3 linked regions of the Macaca mulatta genome follow. Each later gene encodes a partner of the first gene's protein in a complex. Links are inferred from orthologs where the notes say so. Each region holds a gene or a part of one and is shown on either strand. Other genes may lie near its edges.

The links. Proteins that work in one complex are often made in the same cells at the same time.
Region 2: the proteins of EGLN1 (region 1) and EPAS1 are in contact, whole or in part, in a crystal structure (PDB 7Q5X), measured with the Homo sapiens proteins. The link is inferred for Macaca mulatta from reciprocal best matches to the Homo sapiens genes EGLN1 and EPAS1. Residues at the interface, in NP_071334.1 of Homo sapiens: Gln239, Leu240, Val241, Ser242, Lys244, Ile251, Arg252, Trp258, Asp277, Ile280, Arg281, Ile292, Asn293, Gly294, Arg295, Thr296, Lys297, Tyr310, Val311, Arg312, His313, Val314, Asp315, Pro317, Asn318, Asp320, Arg322, Arg370, Trp389, Tyr390; in NP_001421.2 of Homo sapiens: Asp525, Leu526, Glu527, Thr528, Leu529, Ala530, Pro531, Tyr532, Ile533, Pro534, Met535, Asp536, Gly537, Glu538, Asp539, Phe540, Gln541, Leu542.
Region 3: the proteins of EGLN1 (region 1) and HIF1A are in contact, whole or in part, in a crystal structure (PDB 3HQR), measured with the Homo sapiens proteins. The link is inferred for Macaca mulatta from reciprocal best matches to the Homo sapiens genes EGLN1 and HIF1A. Residues at the interface, in NP_071334.1 of Homo sapiens: Gln239, Leu240, Val241, Ser242, Gln243, Lys244, Ile251, Arg252, Trp258, Lys262, Asp277, Ile280, Arg281, Ile292, Asn293, Gly294, Arg295, Thr296, Lys297, Tyr310, Val311, Arg312, His313, Val314, Asp315, Pro317, Asn318, Asp320, Arg322, Arg370; in NP_001521.1 of Homo sapiens: Leu559, Glu560, Met561, Leu562, Ala563, Pro564, Tyr565, Ile566, Pro567, Met568, Asp570, Asp571, Phe572, Gln573, Leu574.

What each region holds. Positions count from the first base shown.
Region 1 is NC_133406.1:17,609,922-17,614,018, forward strand, and holds the start of EGLN1 (egl nine homolog 1), read left to right. Parts: upstream 1-1,287; 5' UTR 1,288-1,716; coding exon 1,717-2,607; intron 2,608-4,097. UniProt on the Homo sapiens protein: Cellular oxygen sensor that catalyzes, under normoxic conditions, the post-translational formation of 4-hydroxyproline in hypoxia-inducible factor (HIF) alpha proteins.
Region 2 is NC_133418.1:78,484,880-78,488,393, forward strand, and holds part of EPAS1 (endothelial PAS domain-containing protein 1), read right to left. Parts: intron 2,035-3,514; coding exon 1,883-2,034; intron 1,471-1,882; coding exon 1,386-1,470; intron 1-1,385.
Region 3 is NC_133412.1:134,854,555-134,858,068, reverse strand, and holds part of HIF1A (hypoxia-inducible factor 1-alpha), read right to left. Parts: intron 2,140-3,514; coding exon 2,031-2,139; intron 1,133-2,030; coding exon 1,006-1,132; intron 1-1,005.

The DNA.
Region 1 (4,097 bases):
TCACTTGATTGGATCCCCAGAATGCCATTAAACGGATGCAGCAGAATTTTTTAACAGTTTTAAATTCTGTATATTTGATGAAGAGGTTTTATATTTTTGGATTCAAGCCTCTTTTTAAACTTCTACAATGTGGTTCACAAAAATTCCTCATATCCTGCTTTTGAAATATATATTGCAGCTTTCGTAAGTTGGGAAGGTTACATTTCAAGGACTAAAGTTACAGTATACTCAAGGGGTACACAAGCCTAGCACCGCATTTTCCAGAGTGTTCGATAAAGATTGTTAAACTCTAAATCACAGGCCTTTTAATTCTTAAGATAAATAGCAGCAGAAAGAAACATCTTTGGCTTATTTCTGGTAAGGTTTTTATGCTCTATAAAACAAAGAATTGTATTCATCCGCGCAGCACAGATTCTATTAAAAATAAATGTGAGAGTTGTTAATGTAGTACTGCTCATTTACCACCAAAATTCACTCTTCAGGAATAATTCCATCAGTTTAAATTGGATATTGGAATGAGCATTGATTACCTCATGTAATTTGGTAGCCCAAAATTTCTTCATGGAGTTTTGAAGTCACCGGGATTTCAAAGGTTTTAATGAGTTTTTAATTTTTTTAAAATCCTCAAATTTCATTACCTTTAAATTAGGTTGAAACGGGGCGCAAGAGATTGGATTAACACCACAGTAATACTTACTTTGTTCTTAACCATTTCAGGGCTTCTTGAAATAGAGACTGTATGGTGTAATGGAAAAAGCCTTGGAATCTGAGAGCCTGATTCCTGGATTCAGTCCCAGTTCTGCGTGACCTTGGACAAGTTACTTCACTTCTCTGAATTTCCGTTTCCTCCTCTGCAAAATGAGGATAGCAACAGCCACCTTGCAACCCTTACTGGAGCGCGCCCCGCACACCCCGCGCCTGCCTCGACGAAGAGCAGCCATGATTACGACGCCGCCGCCGCCGCTCCGCTACCCGCTTGCGGCTGGCGCCCTCCCCCAGCAGGTGTAGGCGCTGCCGCGCTGCCCCACGCCTTTCCGCAGCTCGCGGGCCTGCGCTTCGGCGTCCCCAAGGAGGCCGCTGCAGGCTGAGGTAGCGCACCGGCCTCTCGCGTCCCAGTCCCGCCCTGGGCGGAGGCAGTGCAGGCGACCCAGCTCGGAGGCCGAGGCCCGGCCCCACGGAGTGCGGAGGAGCGCAGGCGGCCCCCGCCCCTCGGCCCTCCCCCCCGGCCCTCCCTCCGCCCCCTCCGCCCTTGCGCGCCGCCCGCCCGGGTCGCCGCGGGGCCGTGGTGTACGTGCAGAGCGCGCAGAGCGAGTGGCGCCCGCATGCCCTACGCTCCTCCACAGCCTGGGCCGGGCCGCCGAGGAGGCTGAGGCGGCGGCGGCGGCGGCGGCGGAGAGGGCCGGTCTTGCGCTCCCCAGGCCCGCGCGCTTGAGTCCAGGTTGCCATTCGCCGCACAGGCCGCATTCTCTCAGCCCTCGGCAGCGATGAGGCGCTGAGGCGGCCGCCGGCGCTGCGCCGGAGACTAGGACTCGGAAGCGGCCGGGCCGAGGGCGCGGGGTACCGGCCTCCCTGAGGCGAGGGTAGTGGGTACATGGCGCAGTAACGGCCCCTATCTCTCTCCCCGCTCCCCAGCCTCGGGCGAGGCCGTCCGGCCGCCACCCCTCTTGCTCGGCCGCCGCCGCCGCCGCTGCCGCCGCCGCCGCCGCCGCCGCCGCCATGGCCAATGACAGCGGCGGGCCCGGCGGGCCGAGCCCGAGCGAGCGAGACCGGCAGTACTGCGAGCTGTGCGGGAAGATGGAGAACCTGCTGCGCTGCAGCCGCTGCCGCAGCTCCTTCTACTGCTGCAAGGAGCACCAGCGTCAGGACTGGAAGAAGCACAAGCTCGTGTGCCAGGGCAGCGAGAGCGCCCTCGGCCCCGGAGTGGGCCCGCACCAGCACTCCGGCCCCGCGCCGCCGGTTGCAGCGCCGCCGCCCAGGGCCGGGGCCCGGGAGCCCAGGAAGGCAGCGGCGCGCCGGGACAACGCCTCCGGGGACGCGGCCAAGGCAAAAGCAAAGGGCAAGCCCCCGGCCGACCCCGCGGCGGCCGCGTCGCCGTCTCGCGCGGCCCCGGGCGGCCAGGGCTCGGCGGTGGCTGCCGAGGCCGAGCCCGGGAAGGAGGAGCCGCCGGCCCGCTCATCGCTGTTCCAGGAGAAGGCGAACCTGTACCCCCCGAGCAACACGCCCGGGGATGCGCTGAGCCCCAGCGGCGGCCTGCGGCCCAACGGGCAGACGAAGCCCCTGCCGGCGCTGAAGCTGGCGCTCGAGTACATCGTGCCGTGCATGAACAAGCACGGCATCTGTGTGGTGGACGACTTCCTCGGCAAGGAGACCGGACAGCAGATCGGCGACGAGGTGCGCGCCCTGCACGACACCGGGAAGTTCACGGACGGGCAGCTGGTCAGCCAGAAGAGCGACTCGTCCAAGGATATCCGAGGCGATAAGATCACCTGGATCGAGGGCAAGGAGCCCGGCTGCGAAACCATTGGGCTGCTCATGAGCAGCATGGACGACCTGATCCGCCACTGTAACGGGAAGCTGGGCAGCTACAAAATCAATGGCCGGACGAAAGTAAGTGTGTGCTGCGGGTTTGTGCTGGACAGACCCTTCTCGGCGGGCAGTCCCTGCCTGCGACTGTAACCGCCTAGGCTGAGAAGCAGCATTCCTCTGTATAGAAGGGACTCGTTGTGTAGCACCCCGTAAGGAAGACGGACAGAATTTGTAGTGGCTGTTTATCTAGTTAGCCCCTTTGTGTCCGCTGTTTTCCACTTACTGCCCGTTCACAAACTTCTCCGGCTAATTGCATGGTTTTCTGGCTAAACGTAGGCTCTTTAACTTTGCTATTTTCTTTCTTCCATTTCACTGTTGGTCACAATTCAAACCTTAGTGGCGTTTTAGCCACCCAGTGAGGGGGTGTTAGAGTACCACCCAAACCAAGTCCTGGTTCTGCATGTGCCTTGTGTTTGCATACGCTCTTGAATTTCCTATGGTGTCTGAACCACTCATCACATTTTGATTGAGAGTCAAACGCTATGTGCAGTGAAGAGTTTGCCAGCTGACCACAAAAAGGTAAATTTAAAATACGCATTTAGTCGAAAGACTGTCTATATTCAGGAAGAGCTTGGCTACTCACCTCCCCCTCTTATAGCTCTTATCCCTTACCCTGTTCCTACTGTTTTGAAACCCTTTACAAAAAGGGGAAAGAAGTATTTCCGTTTTCAGACTTCTCAGTGTAGGTAGGCTACATTTTTAGCATAAGTTTCCTTTATTTGCTTTGTTAATGTAATCCTTCTGTTGAAAACTGTTTTGTAACTTCCTGGAAAAAAACAAAACAAAACAAACAAAAACAACCACAACATGGAATTGGAGCAGGAGGCTCGTTTTATCCTCCCAATTTGGTGAGTTTTTGTTTTCTCTTTACCGTTGCGGTTTTTCCTCCACAGATTCTTCACTTCCTACCTAGTCTATTCCTAGCTCTTTCCTCCTTCATGATAAACAGTAGACTCTTTCCTCCTTAATACTCTCTTGCAGCTTTTTTTCATTTTACTTCTCAGATCTTGATCTTTTCTGTGTATATAGCTGCTCCCAGGCCGCCCTCCTTCACCATCAGTCTCTGTCTGATTTTGTGAGTTTTGAGAGATTGACCTGGGAGAGCATCACAGTTGCATGTTTGTACACACACGCTGACTCTTAACCAGTGGTTCTTTTTTATGTGTGCGTCAGATCATTTACTTTGACAGTCATTACATGTGATTCTCAGGCTGCCGGAAAGGCTGAACATAGGCAGGGAGAAAGTTACAAACATGAAAATGTGGGGAAAAATACAATGTGAAATCTAATTTACGTATTGCCACTTCATTGCTGGGTGAAGGCACAAGTCTTGATTTCTTGTAGTCTTAAAAAGGAACAGTTGAATAATATTAAACTGGAAGGGAAAGGGGGATCTGATGAAATCTCAGCCTTGGTCTTTCACTAGATTTGCGTTGATATTTTTAAGAAAGAACGTTGTCATGGATCACATCTGAACATAAAGTCCCGAGCTCCAGAGCAGGAAAGAAGTT
Region 2 (3,514 bases), on another chromosome or scaffold:
TTGCAGGCTCAGTCTGTAACAGGGTGGAGGTGAGCCAATGAAGTATCTGCTTTTGCAGCATGTGTGGTAATAAGAGCCAACCCTTGTAGGCTTAGCCTCACTGCCTCTGTTATTCAGGTTGGACAAGCATAAGCCCCATGGCAGTGACAGGTGATATTATTAAAGAGGACATCTAGACATGCACAGAATCTGCCCAGACCAGTGACAGAATCTCAGGTTTGGAAGGGACCTTGACAGTCATTAAGCCCCACTTCTGCCCAAAGCTTCAGTCCTCTTAACAATGTCCCTATTCATGCCTTTGTTGAATGGCCACAGTTACGAGAGAGGAAGCTCCACTGCCATTGCAACGTGCTTTCTGCCTGTGTGGGTCCTCTCATCCACTGGCACCTGCTGGGTATCCCCATGGGTAAGGTCCTGTACGCTAGATCTTTTTAAATCTCTTCTCCGTCAAAACCTACTTGACCTATGTCTCATCAGGGTACCATTTCCTGTGGTAGCTCATCTCCAAAAGTAGCTCCAACAAGCCATGCCTTTTGACACTCATGGCTTTGTGTAGTTTCCTCCCACAATGAGCCAGGGCTGTCCTGTAACATGCTCTAACCAACAACATGGGGCAGAAGTGATGCTCTGCTAATTTGAGGACAAAACCTTGGGAAGGCCTGGCAACTTCCACCTTAGTGCTTCTGGGAGCCCTGAGCTGCCACATGTCTGGCTACCCTAGAGACACCGTATGGAGAGGGAGAGTCTCTGAGACTCCATGGAGTGACAGAACAGTCCCATTGTCCCAGCATGCCAGCTGAATCCAGGGTTCCAGCCACCTGACACAAGGTCCCAGACATGTGTGAGCTATCCTGATCACCCCAGCCTAGTCTGGCCCCCAGATGACTGCAGCCCCACTGACATCACATGGAGTATAAGACCCACCCACTGAACCCACAGAACGCTGGGAGATAATCATCAAAGCCCTATGTTTTAGGTGGTTTGTTCCACAGCAATAGATAACTACAGTAGTTCCTATAAGCACTTTGGCACAGACTGGTTTCTCACTGGTTTGGGTGGTGTCATTTGGCAGAGATGCTTGACTCTTGGGTGATGAAACCTCCTAGAGACAGTGTCCTAACCCAAAAGAGTCCCCTAGTAGTGGGACACCAGGCATCATGTGGGGCCAGCAGGAGATACTTCTGAGTACCGGGTCCTCTCAATGCCCCAATCTCATCTCACAGGCTACACACTTAAACGGAGGGCCAGCCTAGCTAAATTTTTTAAGGACATCCATTTTTCCTGCATTGCAAGGCCATGAGCTATCTCCCTTATACTTGTAGACAAAGGGGAGGCAGATTCCCACCCAGTGGGGGCAAGAAGGAAATAAACACAATTAAGGATACCATTTTTGAGACTCAGGTTCTCACGAATCTCCTCGTGGTCGCAGGGATGAGTGAAGTCAAAGATACTATGTCCTGTTAGCTCCACCTGTTTCAAAAACAAGGTTAGGCATCATTATTCCTAACAGTGAAGTAAAAGACTCCAAGAGGAAGCTGAGCCACCTTCCAGATTTGGAGGCAGGGAGGAGATTGAATTGGGTTTTCTCATAATCCCAGTCCAGTGTCAGGTCCACAGACAGAAAGATGTAATGGGGGATTACTGATGACAGAGTCTGTTAATGAGTCAGTAGAGAGCTGTCTGCCAGGATGGACATAAGCAAAGCCAAACCCAATGCCTGGGGGTGGGACTGTGGCCTGAGGCATGTGGCCTGAGGTCAGCGAGGGTCACAGTGGCCATTTACAGGGAAAGGTCAAGTGGGATTGTGGCTAGCACCTTCTACTCATTTCTACCCCCAAATGGAAACATTTCTTCTTTTGAAAGAGATAGAGGGGGGTGTCACCTGTGTAAGTCCCATGAACTTGCTGATGTTTTCTGACAGAAAGATCATGTCGCCATCTTGGGTCACCACGGCAATGAAACCCTCCAAGGCTTTCAGGTACAAGTTGTCCATCTGCTGGTCAGCTTCAGCTTCAGACTCATTTTCAGAGCAAACTGGAAAGAGAGGGGGGCGGGACAGTTACATGAATGTGGAGTGAAAACAGATGTGACTGGCACAGATAGGCATTTGCCAGGGATGGCGCAAAGGCATCGGGTGGACTCTTCTGGAAACGCGCACTGCCGACCATCTGAATGTCTGCCCCAGCCCGGCAGCAGGCACTGGATGAGCACCACTGCACAGAGGACACCCTGACAGGGGCTGTGAGGACAGTGTGCTTGTTGTGACAACAGTACTTCTGGCACTAGCAACGGGAGCAGTAGGAGCTGCTGTGTGAGTGGTTCGGGGTGGAAGTTTTCCTAGGCTGCCCCCAGCAACCACCTGTACAGCCTGTAGACTCGGCTCTTGTCCCAGACCAAAAACACCTCTTGGGCCCCAGGTCTTTGGTGGTTATACACAGACCACCGACTTCATTTCAGCCCTTTTCTCCTAGTTCATTATTTATCTCCAAAGACATTTACTTATGAAAATTTGTATTTATCCAGTGCAAACATCAATCAAAGTATGCCTGAATATAACGGTACTCATAGAAGCAGGAACAAATTTTAGCTGCTAATATATACTGCAATCACAACATGAAAGGTACTGCACTAAGCATGCTATGTAATCTTCACAGTGACCTACGAGGTAGATACTATTCTTAATCTCATTTTACAGATGAAGTGTACAGAGGTTAAGCCATTTGTCCAAAGGTATAAAGATTGCAAAGTTAGCAAGCTTTGACAGCTGAATCCAGAAGCCACACTCAACCATTCATAGGCTTTGGAGTTAAACACAGGTTCTCTTCCTAGATCACCCTCCTATTAGGCTATGACTCTGAATAAGGAACAACCTCTCTGGATATCACTTTCCTCATCAGCTAAATGGGAATAACAATTTCCACCTCTGAATTGTAAGGATTAGATAAGTATGTAAAGTGCCTAAAACTATAACAACAGTAAATTCTTTCTTCTTTCTGCTCCAAGACATGCACTACCCTCAAATTGCTCAGATCCCGGGTGAGGAATATATAGCACTCAGAGATGCAAAGCTAAGTAAAAGTTCAAGGGTGTCATAGCTGGGCTTCCAAGGAAAAGTGTAGATGGGACGAGCTCTAAGGGTCAGAGGACGAGGGGGTCACTTTGGGGTGATCACAGACAACTAACTGTTCCAAAGAAGATTTGCAGAGACTTAGAAAAACAGATTTCACTCTGTGGAATGAAAGAAGGGCCTTCTGAACCAGATGGGATTGTGTGAGCACTGGAAAACCCCTGGAGCAAGCTCCCTCCTAGACTGAAGAGAGGCCCATCTGGCTCAAGAGGAGAATCCATCTTCCAGTCTCAGAGATTGGGCTGGTGAGACAGGCCCAGTGTCCTGGAGGGGCCTCATGTGTCAAGCAAATGTGATCAGAGGAGTACATCTCAAAGCACTGCTTTGGGGAGATTAGTCTGGCAATGGCATACAGAGTGGTTTGGAGACAGTGAAGCCCAGAGGTGC
Region 3 (3,514 bases), on another chromosome or scaffold:
AGAAGGGTTTTTAGTCTACCTGGCAAAACAACAACTATGTAAAAAAGTAAGTATAATCAAGTGATACTGTTGCTGTCTCAGAAATGTTTACAGGATACAATAAAGGCACAAAGAAATAACAGTTTGGAAAAAAGCACAAATATGGTGGGCATCGAGGCTGATGCCTGTAATCCTAGCACAGGCTGAGGCAGGAGGATCACTTGAGGCCAGGAGTTTGAAACCAGCCTGGGCGACGTAGTGAGACCCCATCTCTACAAAAAGCAGCCGGGCGTGGTGAGGCATGTCTGTAGTGCAAGCTACTCAGGGGGCTGAAATGATTGCTTGAGCACAGGAATTTGAGACTGCAGTGAGCTATGATCATGCCACTGCACTCCAGGCCTGGGCAACAGAGCAAGACCCTGTCTCACAAAAAAAAGAAAAAAAAAGAAAAAAAAAGTAGTCATAAAAATTCACAAATTTCAGCTTCTATCAATATTGACAGCACACAGACATAGATAAGTCAAATAAAATTATGAAAAATGAAAAGCTCCACCTTGAAATGTTAATCTCTGTATTAAGACCATTAAATGAAATACTACTTTTTTTTTTTTTTTTTTTGAGGCAGAGTCTCACTCTTGTCACGCAGGCTGGAATGCAGTGATGCCATCTTGGCTCATTGCAACCTCTGCCTCCCGGGTTCAAGCGATTCTCATGCCTCAGCCTCCCAAATAGGTGGGATTACAGGCACCCACCACCACACCCAGCTAATTTTTGTATTTTTAGTAGAGACGGGGTTTCACCATGGTAGCCAGGCTGGTCTCCAACTCCTGACCTCAGATGATCCATCCGCCTCGACCTCCCAAAGTGCTGGGATTACAGGCGTGAGCCACCGCGCCCAGCCGCAACTTTACTTTTTAATCTTGCTAAGGAACCAAAGTCATTTCTCACTTAGATTAAAGCTCCTAAACAAAAATGTTTCATGTATTTTGTCTCTGTGATGTTCAAGGTCAGAAAGAATAAACTAACCAGAGGGTATTAAAATAATTGTCTTTTGCTCCATTCCATTCTGTTCACTAGATTTGCATCCTTTTACACGTTTCCAAGAAAGTGATGTAGTAGCTGCATGATCGTCTGGCTGCTGTAATAATGTTCCCTATAAACAGTAAAGTTATTTCAAGTTTAGTTTGTTCAATTTTTTTTAAACAACCAAAAACCTTGAAATCGGTGTAAATTTAATAACATTATATAGGCAGTTTCTAAAATACTACCCTAAATTATTTTAAATACTTTAAGTTATTTGCTATTCATTATGACCATAAAGTTATTTGCCATCCATTATGACCATTCTGTCTATAAATACTTTCCAGTTAATTTAGTTTGAAAATATCAGAATGTATTATACCACCATTGACTTACCCCAAAACATAGCAGTTCTTTTTTTAATTTGAGATGGACTCTTACTCTCTCACCCAGGCGGAGTGCAGTGGCCTGATCTCGGCTCACCGCAACCTCCACCTCCCGGGTTCAAGCTATTCTCTTGCCTCAGCCTCCAGAGTGGCTGGGATTACAGTCGTGCACTACCACACCTGGCTGATTGTTGTATTTTTAGTAGAGACAGGGTTTCACCAAGTTGGCCAGGCTGGTCTCAAACTCCTGACCTCAAGTGATCCTCGCCTCGGCCTCCCAAAGTGCTGGGATTACAGGTGTGAGGCACTGCGCCCGGCCAATACCAGTTCTTTTAATCAGGCAAAGTAACTTAAAGGGAAGAGAATGAGATTGGTGGTGATATTCAGGGTGGAGTAAGGGGAGAACTTCACTTTTTAATTCAAAATACATTGGAATTGTTTGGAATTTTTATACCAAGAATGTATTCATTAAACATTTGTATTTTTAAAAACCAGTGTATACAGAGTAAAAAAAAACCCAATGTATAAATTCTGAAAATATAACTTTACTATTTGGAAGAAACGTGGAAACACACACACACACACACACACACACAGAAATAGCACATTAGCTAGAAAAGCAAAACCTACTACTCTCATACTTACAATTCCTACTGCTTGAAAAAGTGAACCATCATGTTCCATTTTTCGCTTTCTCTGAGCATTCTGCAAAGCTAGTATCTTTGGATTTAGTTCTTCCTCAGGAACTGTAGTTCTGAAAAGAAAAAAATTGTAAATGAAAATATAGCTCTTTTATTTTTTAAAAAAATATCCAGTGAGCTCTTTTAAAGAAAATACATAATTCCTTAGTTCTCCAATATTAAGGAATGTAATATATATAACATAACTCTCCTGATTACTAAAGTTTATCACCCTAAAAGTCAAAGCTTGTTTTTTTTGGGGTGAAACAGGGTCTCACTCTGTCAGCCAGGCTGGAGTGCAGAGACATGATTTCTGCTTACTATAACCAAGCTCTGTCTCTGGAGTCAAGTGATCCTCCCACCTCAGCCTCTCAAGTAGATGGGATTATGGCTGATTTATATATATATATTTTTGTAGAGATGGGATTTCACCATGTTGCTCAGGGTGGTCTCAAACTCCTGAGCGCAAGTGATCTGCCCACCTTGGCCTCCCAAAGTGCTGGGATTACAGGCGTGAGCACCTGGCCTTCAAAGCTTAATTTAACAGAAAATTTTCTACAGTATGCATATCCCTATTTTATAAAATACAGCTGAACACAACTAAATTGACATTATTGTAGAGTCAAAACAGTTAAATATTGTCCTTTTATTCCACCTAACATAACAATGCGGTGATACTGTTGGGACTATTGAAATATAAGATCAATTTCACATTCATATAGCATTTTCAGTTTATAAAACATTTCAAGTTCATTAGTTCATTTTAATCTTACTTAAGTTCCCAAGATAGATAAGGCAGGCATATCATACCCATTTTATAAATGAGAATCCTGAGGCCTATTGGGTAACTTTCTCAAAGTCCTACTGCTCACTAGTTGTGATATGAAAGTACACTCTAGGTCTCCAGATCCCTACCTCCCCTCCCCTGCTCTTTCCACTATGCTATTTTTCACTCAGTATTGATCTGGTTATCAAACATGAACTATGTATATCTAAAATTAATATTAAATCATGAAGAATTGTTCTAATGAGTAAAGTACATCAGCTTTGTTATATTATTTTGACTTTTCGACCCCCCCATAAACCAAATGCATAATCATAATGGCTCCTTGTTGTTCCAGATAGTTGAGAATGCCAAATAGGTAAGTGATCTAACTGCTCTCTTATTTTGCAGTTTTCTTTGGTTTTTAAAAAATTTCTATAAAACTTCTATTATACAGACAGGCAAGTTTAAAAATTCTTATATAGATATATTGTCTTTATGAAATGTACACTCAGTCTATCATGTAACTATCATTGTAGTAGTAGTAGTAGTAGTACTTAGTAGTTATGTTTTTAATGGTTTAATTTTTGAAATTCCTTTCATAAAAGTTTTCAGTGTACACTACATTGGAACTAATGTTTAAAAACAATTGCTAGCTGGGTGCAGTGGCTCGCCTGTAATCCCAA